Cricetulus griseus: one gene and its partners. The protein of the gene in region 1 purifies or fractionates together with the protein of each later gene. This does not show direct contact. Links are inferred from orthologs where the notes say so. Each region holds a gene or a part of one and is shown on either strand. Other genes may lie near its edges.

The links.
Region 2: the proteins of Tuba1b (region 1) and Hdac6 purify together in Homo sapiens (affinity purification with western blotting; 4 studies listed by BioGRID, with this or other methods). This does not show direct contact. The link is inferred for Cricetulus griseus from reciprocal best matches to the Homo sapiens genes TUBA1B and HDAC6.
Region 3: the proteins of Tuba1b (region 1) and Cct6a purify together in Homo sapiens (affinity purification with mass spectrometry; 3 studies listed by BioGRID and IntAct, counting the BioPlex papers as one, with this or other methods). This does not show direct contact. The link is inferred for Cricetulus griseus from reciprocal best matches to the Homo sapiens genes TUBA1B and CCT6A.

What each region holds. Positions count from the first base shown.
Region 1 is NC_048595.1:395,400,685-395,404,839, forward strand, and holds the start of Tuba1b (tubulin alpha-1B chain), read right to left. Parts: upstream 2,867-4,155; 5' UTR 2,768-2,866; coding exon 2,765-2,767; intron 1,433-2,764; coding exon 1,210-1,432; intron 1,073-1,209; coding exon 924-1,072; intron 804-923; coding exon 1-803. UniProt on the Homo sapiens protein: Tubulin is the major constituent of microtubules, protein filaments consisting of alpha- and beta-tubulin heterodimers. Microtubules grow by the addition of GTP-tubulin dimers to the microtubule end, where a stabilizing cap forms.
Region 2 is NC_048604.1:114,403,058-114,406,703, reverse strand, and holds part of Hdac6 (histone deacetylase 6), read left to right. Parts: intron 1-882; coding exon 883-1,009; intron 1,010-1,102; coding exon 1,103-1,168; intron 1,169-1,262; coding exon 1,263-1,322; intron 1,323-1,554; coding exon 1,555-1,644; intron 1,645-2,776; coding exon 2,777-2,883; intron 2,884-2,968; coding exon 2,969-3,036; intron 3,037-3,403; coding exon 3,404-3,572; intron 3,573-3,646.
Region 3 is NC_048597.1:109,117,494-109,121,139, forward strand, and holds part of Cct6a (T-complex protein 1 subunit zeta), read left to right. Parts: intron 1-1,191; coding exon 1,192-1,339; intron 1,340-1,385; exon of another isoform or gene 1,386-1,518; intron 1,519-1,810; coding exon 1,811-1,944; intron 1,945-2,701; coding exon 2,702-2,804; intron 2,805-3,646. UniProt on the Homo sapiens protein: Component of the chaperonin-containing T-complex (TRiC), a molecular chaperone complex that assists the folding of actin, tubulin and other proteins upon ATP hydrolysis.

The DNA of each region.
Region 1 (4,155 bases):
TGATCTAGGCGAGCCCAGGCCTCAGCGATGGCTGTGGTGTTGCTCAGCATGCACACAGCTCTCTGGACCTTAGCCAGGTCTCCACCAGGTACCACAGTGGGAGGCTGGTAATTAATGCCAACCTTGAAGCCAGTGGGACACCAGTCCACAAACTGGATGCTGCGCTTGGTCTTGATGGTGGCAATGGCAGCATTGACATCTTTGGGAACCACATCCCCACGGTACAGCAGGCAGCAAGCCATGTATTTACCATGGCGAGGGTCACATTTCACCATCTGATTGGCTGGCTCAAAGCAGGCATTGGTGATCTCTGCTACAGAAAGCTGCTCATGGTAGGCTTTCTCAGCAGAGATGACAGGGGCATATGTGGCCAGAGGGAAATGGATGCGAGGGTAGGGTACCAGGTTGGTCTGGAATTCTGTCAGGTCAACATTCAGGGCTCCATCAAATCTGAGGGAAGCAGTGATGGAAGACACAATCTGGCTAATGAGGCGGTTAAGGTTAGTGTAGGTGGGGCGCTCAATGTCGAGGTTTCTACGACAGATGTCATAGATGGCCTCGTTGTCTACCATGAAGGCACAATCAGAGTGCTCCAGGGTGGTGTGGGTGGTGAGGATGGAGTTGTAGGGCTCAACCACAGCAGTGGAAACCTGGGGGGCTGGGTAGATGGAGAACTCCAGCTTGGACTTCTTTCCATAATCGACAGAGAGCCGCTCCATCAGCAGGGAGGTGAACCCAGAGCCAGTTCCCCCACCAAAGCTGTGGAAAACCAAGAAGCCCTGAAGACCTGTGCACTGGTCAGCCTGTAGGAAAAAAAGAAAAGGCATTGTTTATCAGTAGTGAACAGACTTTACTTATTTTGGCAGGTCCCAACACTCCCCCACACTGCATTTTAAATGAATCCATCCATCTATGGTATTTACCAGCTTGCGAATTCTGTCCAAGACAAGATCAATGATCTCCTTGCCGATGGTGTAGTGGCCACGGGCATAGTTATTGGCAGCATCTTCCTTGCCTGTGATGAGCTGCTCAGGGTGGAAGAGCTGGCGGTAGGTACCAGTGCGAACTTCATCTGGAAAAGGAGATGAAATCAACCATTCACAACAGTAACTGACACACACAAGCTCACTCACTCTTCGGCGGTGTGTGGAGAGGTTCTGAGTATGTGACCAGGACAGAATGCCTCAGGGAAGCCCCTGGCCCACTTACCGATGACTGTGGGTTCCAGGTCTACGAACACGGCCCGGGGCACATGCTTGCCAGCGCCTGTCTCACTGAAGAAGGTGTTGAAGGAGTCATCTCCTCCCCCGATGGTCTTGTCACTTGGCATCTGGCCGTCAGGCTGGATGCCATGTTCCAGGCAGTAGAGCTCCCAGCAGGCATTGCCGATCTGGACACCAGCCTGGCCAACGTGGATGGAGATGCACTCACGCTGTGGGACAGAAAGAAGGGGAAAAAAAAACTATTAGTAATGCCGCAAGCAGCTGGAATTCTAACCATGGCACAAAGTGACAAATCGTTAAAACTCGCAAGCATTTATTAAAAAAAAAAAAAAAGCTAATTTCAGCCTTTCCACACCTAGAAGTGCTTAGTCACACTTCCTTTTTTGAAAACCAAGATACGAAGGCTTTTCATTTACCCTGTGCCCTCAGAGTTCTACTTTTGCTTTGTGCCCAGACTTCCGGACAACTGTAGGCAGAGGAAGCATGTGACTTAAGCAATGAGGAAGGTTCTGGTGGCAGGGCTCTACGGAATGAGATAATGGAGCATTTATTTGTGCATGCACCGAGGCGCCCGGGATGCAGCTGGTTTGCCACTTCCTCTATTTGTAGGCGCTGAGCTCAGCTCCCCCCGCATCCGTCCTGGTCCAGCAGGGAATCATAAGCCGCTCAGATCCGATTTCTGTTACCCTCAAACCCTTCAATGTCACCACCTGGTCCCACACAAATTCCTAACTCGAGACAGCTGAGACTTCACGCTGTTATTGCTAAGTATTGTGGAATATAGTCCGAGACCTGCCCCACATTTCTTATTGCTTTCATTAAAAGCAAAAGGAAAATCGAGGCTGAGGTAGAGAGGGGGCTTAGTATTCGAGGGCCAGGGTTTGCCCCACCGTCCCCCCCAAATACAGGAGACACACCCTAAACGAATTAAGCCCGCAGTGCCGCAGCGCGCACGCGCACACTGCAGAGGCTCTTCCCGCCGCTCTCAGGCGGGAACGTAACGGTCGCGCATGCGTCTTTGTCTCCTGGCGTCTTCCCGCCCCCGCCTTTTCGCACCGAAGAGGAAGTGAGGGCGGGGAAAGGCTATGTGCGCGCGCCCGAAAAGCAGAACGCAAGGGTAGGGTGGGGGCAGGGCCCGCGCGCGGGAAGACTGCAGTCTGAAAGCGCCATGCTGTAAATGCCTTGTGCAGGGCGTGGACGGATGCAGACCCAAGTCCAGCGGGGCCCGGGAGAGCCCCTTCTCCACATCCCGGAGGTCCTCAGGGATGGGCTCATGGGTCCTCAGCATGGGCCTCATGCTCCCCGGCTCACCCAGGGGAACCCGGGACAACCCCATCTCCCCCAGACCCCGGCGACCCCCAGTAGCTGGGGCCCCATGCTCGCCCGCTCTTCCAGGGGTACCCTGGAGAGCCCCTTCTCCCTCAGATACAGGCAGCCCCCAGCAGCCTGGGACCCTTGCTCTCCTGCTCACACACGCTTCAGCCCCAGGCCCCAGCGAGCAGCCCTCGCCTCGCCTCCCTTCCCTGCACCGATGCACTCACCATGGTAGCTACGGGTTAGAAGGCGAAGGTGACAAAAGCAGACAGCGGGTCACGGTTACCGTTCCCGACAGCTAAGAGTCGAGGTAAGTAACGCAATGAGGTGGAGGCGTCGGCTCCAGAGCCTCTTAAGTAGTTGCTGGGGCGGGGCGGGCGCGGCCGGGTGGCCACGGTCCCTCCCCCGGCCGGCCAGGTCCATTGAGCGCCCGGCTGGCCGCCGCAGAGGCGGGCTCGGCTCGCAGTCCCCTCCCTGCATGGGCCCACGGGGCGGGGCAGCCGCCTGGGCGTGCGCCGATGCTGCAGACTGGGGCGCGCCGCTGCATTGCGGGGAGGGAGTGGACGCTGCCGCAGACAGACAAGAGGGTGTGGGAGCCTGGGCAGACTGGCGCAGTCTTGATGAACCGGGGGACTTGAGGGGCCCGCAGTGTTAAAAGTGCGGCATCCTCAAGCGCTGAAAGGTGTGGTCCGGATAACTCAGCTGATCATTCATGTGGCCACACTCGATGAGTGAGTTTTGCCTTTCTCCTTGCTTCCTTTAAAGGCTGTGCTTACCTGCTACTGTGAAAGCCCCTTATAAAACCCTATCACTATACTTAGTATATTGCCATGGTTCATTCTCGAAACTAAAGGTACCTAGTACTGGAAGCAACTTGAATCATCCAAATGTTAAAATAGGGGCGGACTAGGCCAGAGTTTCAGCCTCTAGCTGCCAATTTAATGGGATTGCCCTAAATAAGGGCTCTTTCAAAAGATTTTTAAAATCATTTGAAGTGGTAAGCTAAATCGAAGAAGTGAGGGAAAACTAGAAGGAAAATGTCTCACTGAAGAATACAGACAGCAAGGAATTCTTGTGCTATACAAATTTTCTGAGTGCTGTGATGACCAGATTATAATCAATAAACTACCCTCCCCATTTATTCCAAGGCCATAAACTACTACTGACCTTAGAAATTCATAATGTGATGAAGGCTAACACGTGGCTTTAAACCGCCCTCACGGAACAGATTGCAATCACTCAGCTATTCAAAATGTCCTCCTGGCAGTGGCAGCAGGGAACACAGATCCTGTGCCGGCTGTGCAGCCTGAAACTCCCCTTTTCAGAGCCTCAGGCGCCTCTTAGTCAGGTGCCCTAGGATTCTCCACATAGTGCAGGAAAGCAGAATTCCAAGAGTCCTAGTAAAGGAATGCCTCAGCCAGTTAATTAAATAGGAGAAAGAGCAAACACTTGAAGCCAGGCGCCTAGTGTTAGAAGACAAGGCCCCCAAGTGCTTCAGCAGCAACTATGTAGGTAATTTCGGGGGCTTTGTAGTTACATTGTTTAAAAGAGGTAATGTGGATTGAGGAAATAGCTCAATTAGGACCTGAATTTGATTCCCCTGAACCCAAAAGGGGGG
Region 2 (3,646 bases), on another chromosome or scaffold:
TGTCCTTACTGACTTTATGGCAGCCTTAGATAGCATCTTTTACTTTAGCTTTACACACAAAACCACGCCCCATCTTCCCTCATTCCTGGCCTTCTGCATCTCTCCACCTCTTTCAGTGGAATCACTAAGTTCCCCAGCATGGACTGGAGGCTCTTTGCAGCCCTAGCTGGCTTCTGCAGATAAGTTCCCCCAAGACTCCCATGAACCTCCAGTATTCAGTGTTGTTATTACCTTGGGATAATAACAGTGGCAGGAGTGATTAGAAGACATGACCTAGAGTTTCTCACAGGGTCATCATTGCCCAGGTTCTTGGGTTGACTCAGTAGCTCTTGAGACCTTAGACTTGAGTCTGAAATTGGGTGGACACTGAAGAGGCAGCAATATTTACTGACAGAAATTCTGGTGGGAGATCAGTCAATGTGTAGGAAAAATGGGTGAACCACGGGGGGTTAATGAATGGGGAAATGAATAAGTTGGTAAATGAATGGAAGGGTAAACTAATGCAAGACTTGAGAGTATAGATTGAAGCCGGGCGTTGGTGGCACATGCCTTTAATCCCAGCACTTGGGAGGCAGAGGCAGGTGGATCTCTGAGTTCGAGACCAGTCTGGTCTACAAGAGCGAGTGCCAGGACAACCTCCAAAGTTCCACAGAGAAACCCTGTCTCCAAAAACAAAACAAAACAAAAAAGTACAGATTGAAAATTGGAAAAACTTAGAGAATGAATTGAGTAGTTGGTAAAATCACCTTGTTGAATTAAACCCTGTAGCTGTAGGTTGGAGGCCTTAAGTTTGACTCTTCAATTTCCTTATTTTTTTCTATGCTGGAGATTGAGTTTCCACATGCTATGCAACCTCTCAACATTTCTTTTCTCTGCCTCTAGTGTCCTCTATTTCTCCATCCACCGCTATGAGCAGGGTCGGTTCTGGCCCCACCTTAAGGCTTCTAACTGGTCCACTACAGGTTTTGGCCAAGGCCAGGGATATACTATCAATGTACCTTGGAACCAGGTCAGTGTCTTCCCACCTGAAGTGAGCCTAGCCCTGCCCTCCCACCGACTCAAGAAAGGTGCCTGACTGTCCATCGTGTTTCTGTGTCTGCAGGTGGGGATGCGGGATGCTGACTACATTGCTGCTTTTCTGCACATCCTGCTGCCAGTTGCCTTTGAGGTCTTGGAGATCCAGGAAATTTAGGGGTGAGGGGCAACACTGAGGGATGACCTGTGAAGGAGGGTGTTCTCACATAGTCTGTTCCCTTCCTCAGTTTCAGCCTCAACTGGTCCTGGTGGCTGCTGGATTTGATGCCCTCCAAGGAGACCCCAAGGTAAGGCAGGTTCTCGGGTTTTAGGTAGGCAAAGGGGAGTACACTGGCCGGGTGTTGGTGGTGCACGCCTTTAATCCCAGCACTCGGGAGGCAGAGGCAGGCGGATCTCTGAGTTCGAGGCCAGCCTGGTCTCCAGAGCGAGTGCCAGGATAGGCTCCAAAGCTACACAGAGAAACCCTGTCTTGAAAAACCAAAAAAAGGGGGGAGTACACTGAGCTTTGTGTTCCTGCAGGGAGAGATGGCCGCCACTCCAGCAGGCTTTGCCCACCTAACCCATTTCCTCATGGGTCTGGCAGGAGGCAAGGTGATTTTGTCTCTGGAGGTGAGTAACTCACTTTTATCAAACTCTAGATCCTAAAGGGCTTAGAATTTTTATATTTGTTTATTCATTGTTTGTATGTACATGCACATACGCTATGCACATGTACCATGATGTATGTGGTCAGAAGACAACTGTGGGAGTTGGTTCTCTCCTTCCACCATGTAGATTCTTTTGGGGGATTGAACTTCGGTTATCAGGCTTGGTGGCAAGCCCTCTTATCCTCTGATCCAACTCACTGGCCCACTTGGAGGCTCAAGAACAGATCTTTTGGGCCTTGGGGATGGAGTTAAAAGGTAGAATGCCACAGGCGGTGGTGGCGCATGCCTTTAGTCCCAACGCTCAGGAGGCAGAGGCAGGCGGATCTCTGTGGGTTCAAGGCCAGCCTGGTCTACAAGAGCTAGTTCCAGGACAGCCTCCAAAGCTACACAGAGAAACCCTGTCTCGAAAAACCAAAAAAAAAAAAAAAAGGTAGAATGCTTAGCTAATATATAATATATGTAAGGGCTTCCATTCTTAGGACCACTGAAAACAAAACAAGAGCTTTCATGTATATAAGAAGTTCCTGGGGGCCAAAGAGATGCCTAGTGGTTGAGAGCACTTGCTGCTTTTACAGAGGACCTGGGTTCGATTCCCAGCATGGTGTCTTGCAAGTAGGCACATGTGTGGTACACATATACACATGCAGGCAAAACATTCATAATCATAAAGTTAATTGATTCTCAATTTTTTTTTGTTTGTTTTTCAAGACAGGGTTTCTCTGTGTAGCTTTGGAGCCTATCCTGGCACTCGCTCTGGAGACCAGGCTGGCCTCGAACTCACAGAGATCTTCTTGCCTCTGCCTCCTGAGTACTGGGATTAAAGGCAGGTGCCACCAACGCCTGGCCAATTCTCAAAAAAATTTTAATGTGCTTTTTTTTGTAAAGTTGTTCCTTGCTTGGCCTTACTTCTCCATAATTCCTTGGTGCCTCTGCTAATCACTTTACATCATTGTCCAGTAAATTAAATGATGTCACCATCTAGATTTCTTGTTGTTTGACATATAGTATGCACCCAAATATTGTTACTGTTATCAGTATCCTTCCCTGTTAATATATGGCCCTCTGCTTGCCTCCCCCAACAACTCCTTCCCCAGGGTGGCTATAACCTCCATGCCCTGGCTAAGGGTGTCAGTGCATCACTCCACACTCTTCTTGGAGACCCTTGCCCCATGCTGGAGTCCCCTGGTGCACCTTGTGCAAGGTAAGCCTGGGGGAAATGGGAAAGGAGAGCTCTTATTGCCTGCCTGGGGGCCGTTTCATCACATTTCTGCTTCCCTCACCCCCAGTGCCCAGACTTCAATCTCCTGCACGCTAGAAGCCCTTGAACCCTTCTGGGAGATCCTTGTGAAATCAGGTAGGAGGTGGGGGATGGGCAAAATCAGCATCAGACATGGAATAAGCTATTAGGAATATTCCCTTCCAGAACCCTTCTTTTTTGGTTTTTTGAGACAGGGTTCCTCTGTGTAGCTTTGGAGGCTGTCCTGGAACTAGCTCTTGTAGACCAGGCTGGCCTCGAGCTCACAGAGATCCACCTGCCTCTGCCTCCCTTGGACTAAAGCATGCGCCACCACCACCCGGCACCAGATCCCTTCTTGCTTTCCTGGGATGCCTTGGTGGGGATGGCTGTGTGGGTTTTAGGCCTTTTGTCTGGGCCACATTTGTCTCGAAATATGATGGGATCCAGATTCAGCAAGTAGGGTAATCTGAGCCCCTCTTTATAGTCGAGCCCCAGGAGGAAGATGAAGTAGAGGAAGACAGGGTGGAAGAAGAATATGAGGAAGATCGCTGGGAGGCTGCTGGACTGCCAATGGATACATGGCCAGTGCTACAGGATCGCACTGGGCTGGTCTATGATGAAAAGATGATGAGTCACTGCAACCTATGGGACAAGTATGTAGTCAGAGGGCTGGAATGAGTTCTGGGATCACTCATCTCAGTTACTGAACCCCTGGTTCTGGTTTTCC
Region 3 (3,646 bases), on another chromosome or scaffold:
GACAGGGTTTCTCTGGCTTTGGAGGTTGTCCTGGAACTAGTTCCGGTTTTTTTTTTTTTTTTTTTTTTTTTGGAACAAGTTCTTGTAGACCAGGCTGGTCTTGAACTCACAGAGATCCGCCTGCCTCTGCCTTCTGAATGCTGGGACTAAAGGCTTGTGCCACCAATGCCCTGCTCCTAAACAAGTTTTTGTTTGATTTTTTTTTGAGGCAGGGTTTCTCTGTAGCAGTTCTAGCTATTCTGGGAATCTTTGTCAGCAAAGCTGACCTCAAACTTAGAGGTCCACCTGCCTGTTCCTCCTGAGTGTTGGGATTAAAAGGGTATGCACCACCACCTCCCAGCTTTTCTTAATTTTATGTATTTATTTATTCAATTTGGTTTTTCGAGACAGGGTTTCTCTGTGTAGCTTTGGAGCCTATCCTGGCAGTCGCTCTGGAGACCAGGCTGGCTTGAACTTACAGATCCGCCTGCCTCTACCTTCCGAGTGCTGGGATTAAAGGCGTGCTCCATAAACGCCCGACTAATTTTATGTATTTATTTGAGACAGAGTAATACTATGTTGCCTGGGCTGGCATAGAACTCACTGTATGGCTTTCTGGTTTCTCAAAACAGGGTTTCCTGGCCAGCCTGGTCTACAGAGTGAGTTCCAGGGCAGGCTCCAAAGCTACACAGAGAAACTCTGTCTTGAGAAACAAAAACGAAAAAAGACAGTTTCCCTATGTAACCTTGGCTGTCCCGGAACTTGCTCTGTAGACTAGGCTGGCCTTAACTCAGACATCCTCCTGTCTCGGTCTCTCTAGTATTGGGATTAAAGGCAAATGTCAGCACCACCTTTCTGGATAGGGCTCTTTCACTAAATTTATTCCAGGTTGCTTGTGTGAGGGTTATTTACCACACCCCGGCAATTTGCTAGTGGTTACACCATCTTTAAAAAATTACTTCTCATGCATCTTGGTGGTTTATATGTAATATGAGTTGACTTTAAATTTTTAATTTCTCTTGTGCCTGATTATCCTCCCTTTCAAAAAACCTTGCGGTTTTTTGTTGTTTTAAGATAAGGTTTTACTATACATCCTTGGGTGTGTAAGAACTCATAGAGACCTGTCTGCCTCTGTCTTTCAAGTTCTGGGGTTAAAGGCATGCATCACCGTGCCCCAAGGGTAACTTTTAACAATAATTTCTCTTCTTCCAGGGCGAAGAGAAGTTCACCTTTATTGAGAAATGTAACAATCCCCGTTCTGTCACATTACTGGTTAAAGGACCAAACAAGCACACACTGACTCAAATCAAAGATGCAATAAGAGATGGCTTGAGGGCCGTCAAAAATGCTATCGATGATGGTAAGCAGCATGCTGTGCTTGACTTGTGCTCTTTTTAGTCTTAAAGGCATGGCTGAATACTGTGTTCTTTAGTCAATAATTTACACAGCCAGACACCATGCAAAAGTAAAGTCTTCCTTTAAAATGATTGGTATGCTGTTTTTTTTAATAGTATATCATTATTAAAAGTAAGTACAAATAAATTATTAAAGCTGGTGGCTCTTGAGCTACCAATTAGAATGTTTTGCTCTTGGTTGTGGTTGCTCATATTGTGACTCAAGAGGCAGGTCTGTGCTGGGGTGTTACTGTTGGTAAGGCACCTACTTAGCATATGAGGATAGATGTACCCACATGTCTATCACCCAGTACTGCAAGAATATATAAATGCATATAACTAAATAATATTGTTCTGAAATAATTTTATTCTGTATTTGCTGGGTTGGGTTTTGTTTTGTTTTGTTTCTCTATGACTTCTCCTTCCCTTGTCCACAGGCTGTGTTGTCCCAGGCGCTGGTGCAATAGAAGTGGCAATGGCAGAAGCTCTGATTAAATACAAGCCCAGCGTGAAAGGCAGGGCTCAGCTGGGAGTCCAGGCATTTGCAGATGCCTTGCTCATTATTCCCAAGGTTTGAATATTTACCTTAGTTTTCCTTGCTGACAACCTTTGGGATGCAGTCATTTGTTTATGCTAGTTTCCTGAACTATGCCAAGCTAGGCAGGGTGCCACATGCCTTTAATCCTAGCACCTGTGAGGCAGAGGCAGGCTGGTCTTGGCCAGCTGTGTACATAACATTTCAGGCCAGCCAGCAGTGTTTGTAGCAAGAGATAGTCTGCCTCAGACCTGGGTGGGTAGAATTTAGAACACCCACCCTACCACACCTGGGGTAGGCAAGCTCTAAGTGTCCACAGCTGTACAGAGGAGAATGGAAAAAAGAAAGCCAGCATGGAGGTTGGTCACAAAGTGAAGACTAGCAGCCATATAGCAAGGCAAGAGACAAAGTGGACAGATCAGAACTGCATGGCAGCAGCCCAGTAGGCCATTGCTTGCATGGGTTGTTGAAGGATGAGCTTCTTTTTACTTGAGCAAAACTAATGGCCTTGTCATCATGAGCTACTCAGTAAAGGTGAGGGCTTATGACCAGTACTGGGGGAGTGGGGGTGTCTATTCTCTGGAGAGAACATGAATAATGAATGGTTCTATCTCAGTGCATGCAAACCACTGTCCTGTTTGTTTATTTATTTGGGGCAAGAAGGGGTGTGCTATAGCACATAAGGAGGTCAGAAGCCTGCTTTCAGGGAACTTATTTTTAATTGGAAATACTGTAAGTTTATTTAACATTCAGTTTTCAGTTTGTTTCTTCAAGAATTAAATTTGTTTGCTAGGTTCTTGCACAGAACTCTGGTTTTGACCTTCAGGAAACATTAGTTAAAGTTCAAGCTGAACATTCAGAATCGGGTCAACTTGTCGGTGTGGACTTGAACACAGGTGAGATTGTACTTCTTTGTGGGGGTAGACTAGATTAGATGCAGGAAAACTGGGGAAAGTGAAAATGCCTGGGGGATCTTGCTGTGCCTCCCTGGTTTGGAATCAGTCCTGCCCTTCTAAGTTGATGTTACCCATAACTGTACCAACTAGATATGGAGACTGGGGCATGGGATGGATATTTTAAATGGTGGAGTAAAGCTAGTGGCATGATCGTAACCCTGCTTTTTAGCCCCTATAACACAAATGTACAATATAAAGCAGAAGGCCTACTGTCCATACTCACTAACTTAATTGAAGAGATTGCTGGAATGAGGGAAGTCAACAGGAATGAGTCCATAGCAGAGGGGGGTCTAAATGCTTGCTCAGCAGCTAGTGCTTTGTCATAAAGAGATATGAACCACATGGCCAAGATTCTGGAAAGGAGTGGTGAATAGTCAGTGATAACCAGTACTGTTGCTTCATATTTTAAAGATTTGAAGTTGTCTTTGACTACATAGCAAAATCCTGTCTAAGATAGTCCAAATTGGTCCTTGTTTTCTGTTCTAGAATTGGTGGGGTTTGTTCATAAATAGGATGATTTCTTGAAAAAGGTAAAGGTATTCGATTGGGGCTAGAGAAAGATAGTTAAGAGCAATAGTTGCTTTTCCAGAGGACCTGGGTTCCAGTACTAGCACCCACATGGCAGCTCACAACTGGTGTTACTTCAGTTCCAGGGGCTCTGATACCCTCAGGCATGCGTGCAGTTAAAAGACCAATGCATGTGAAATAAAAATCACTTTTTAAATTAAAAAGAAAGGGGCATCTGATAATTTGTGGTTTCAAGGTGTGGTATTTATTTTTCA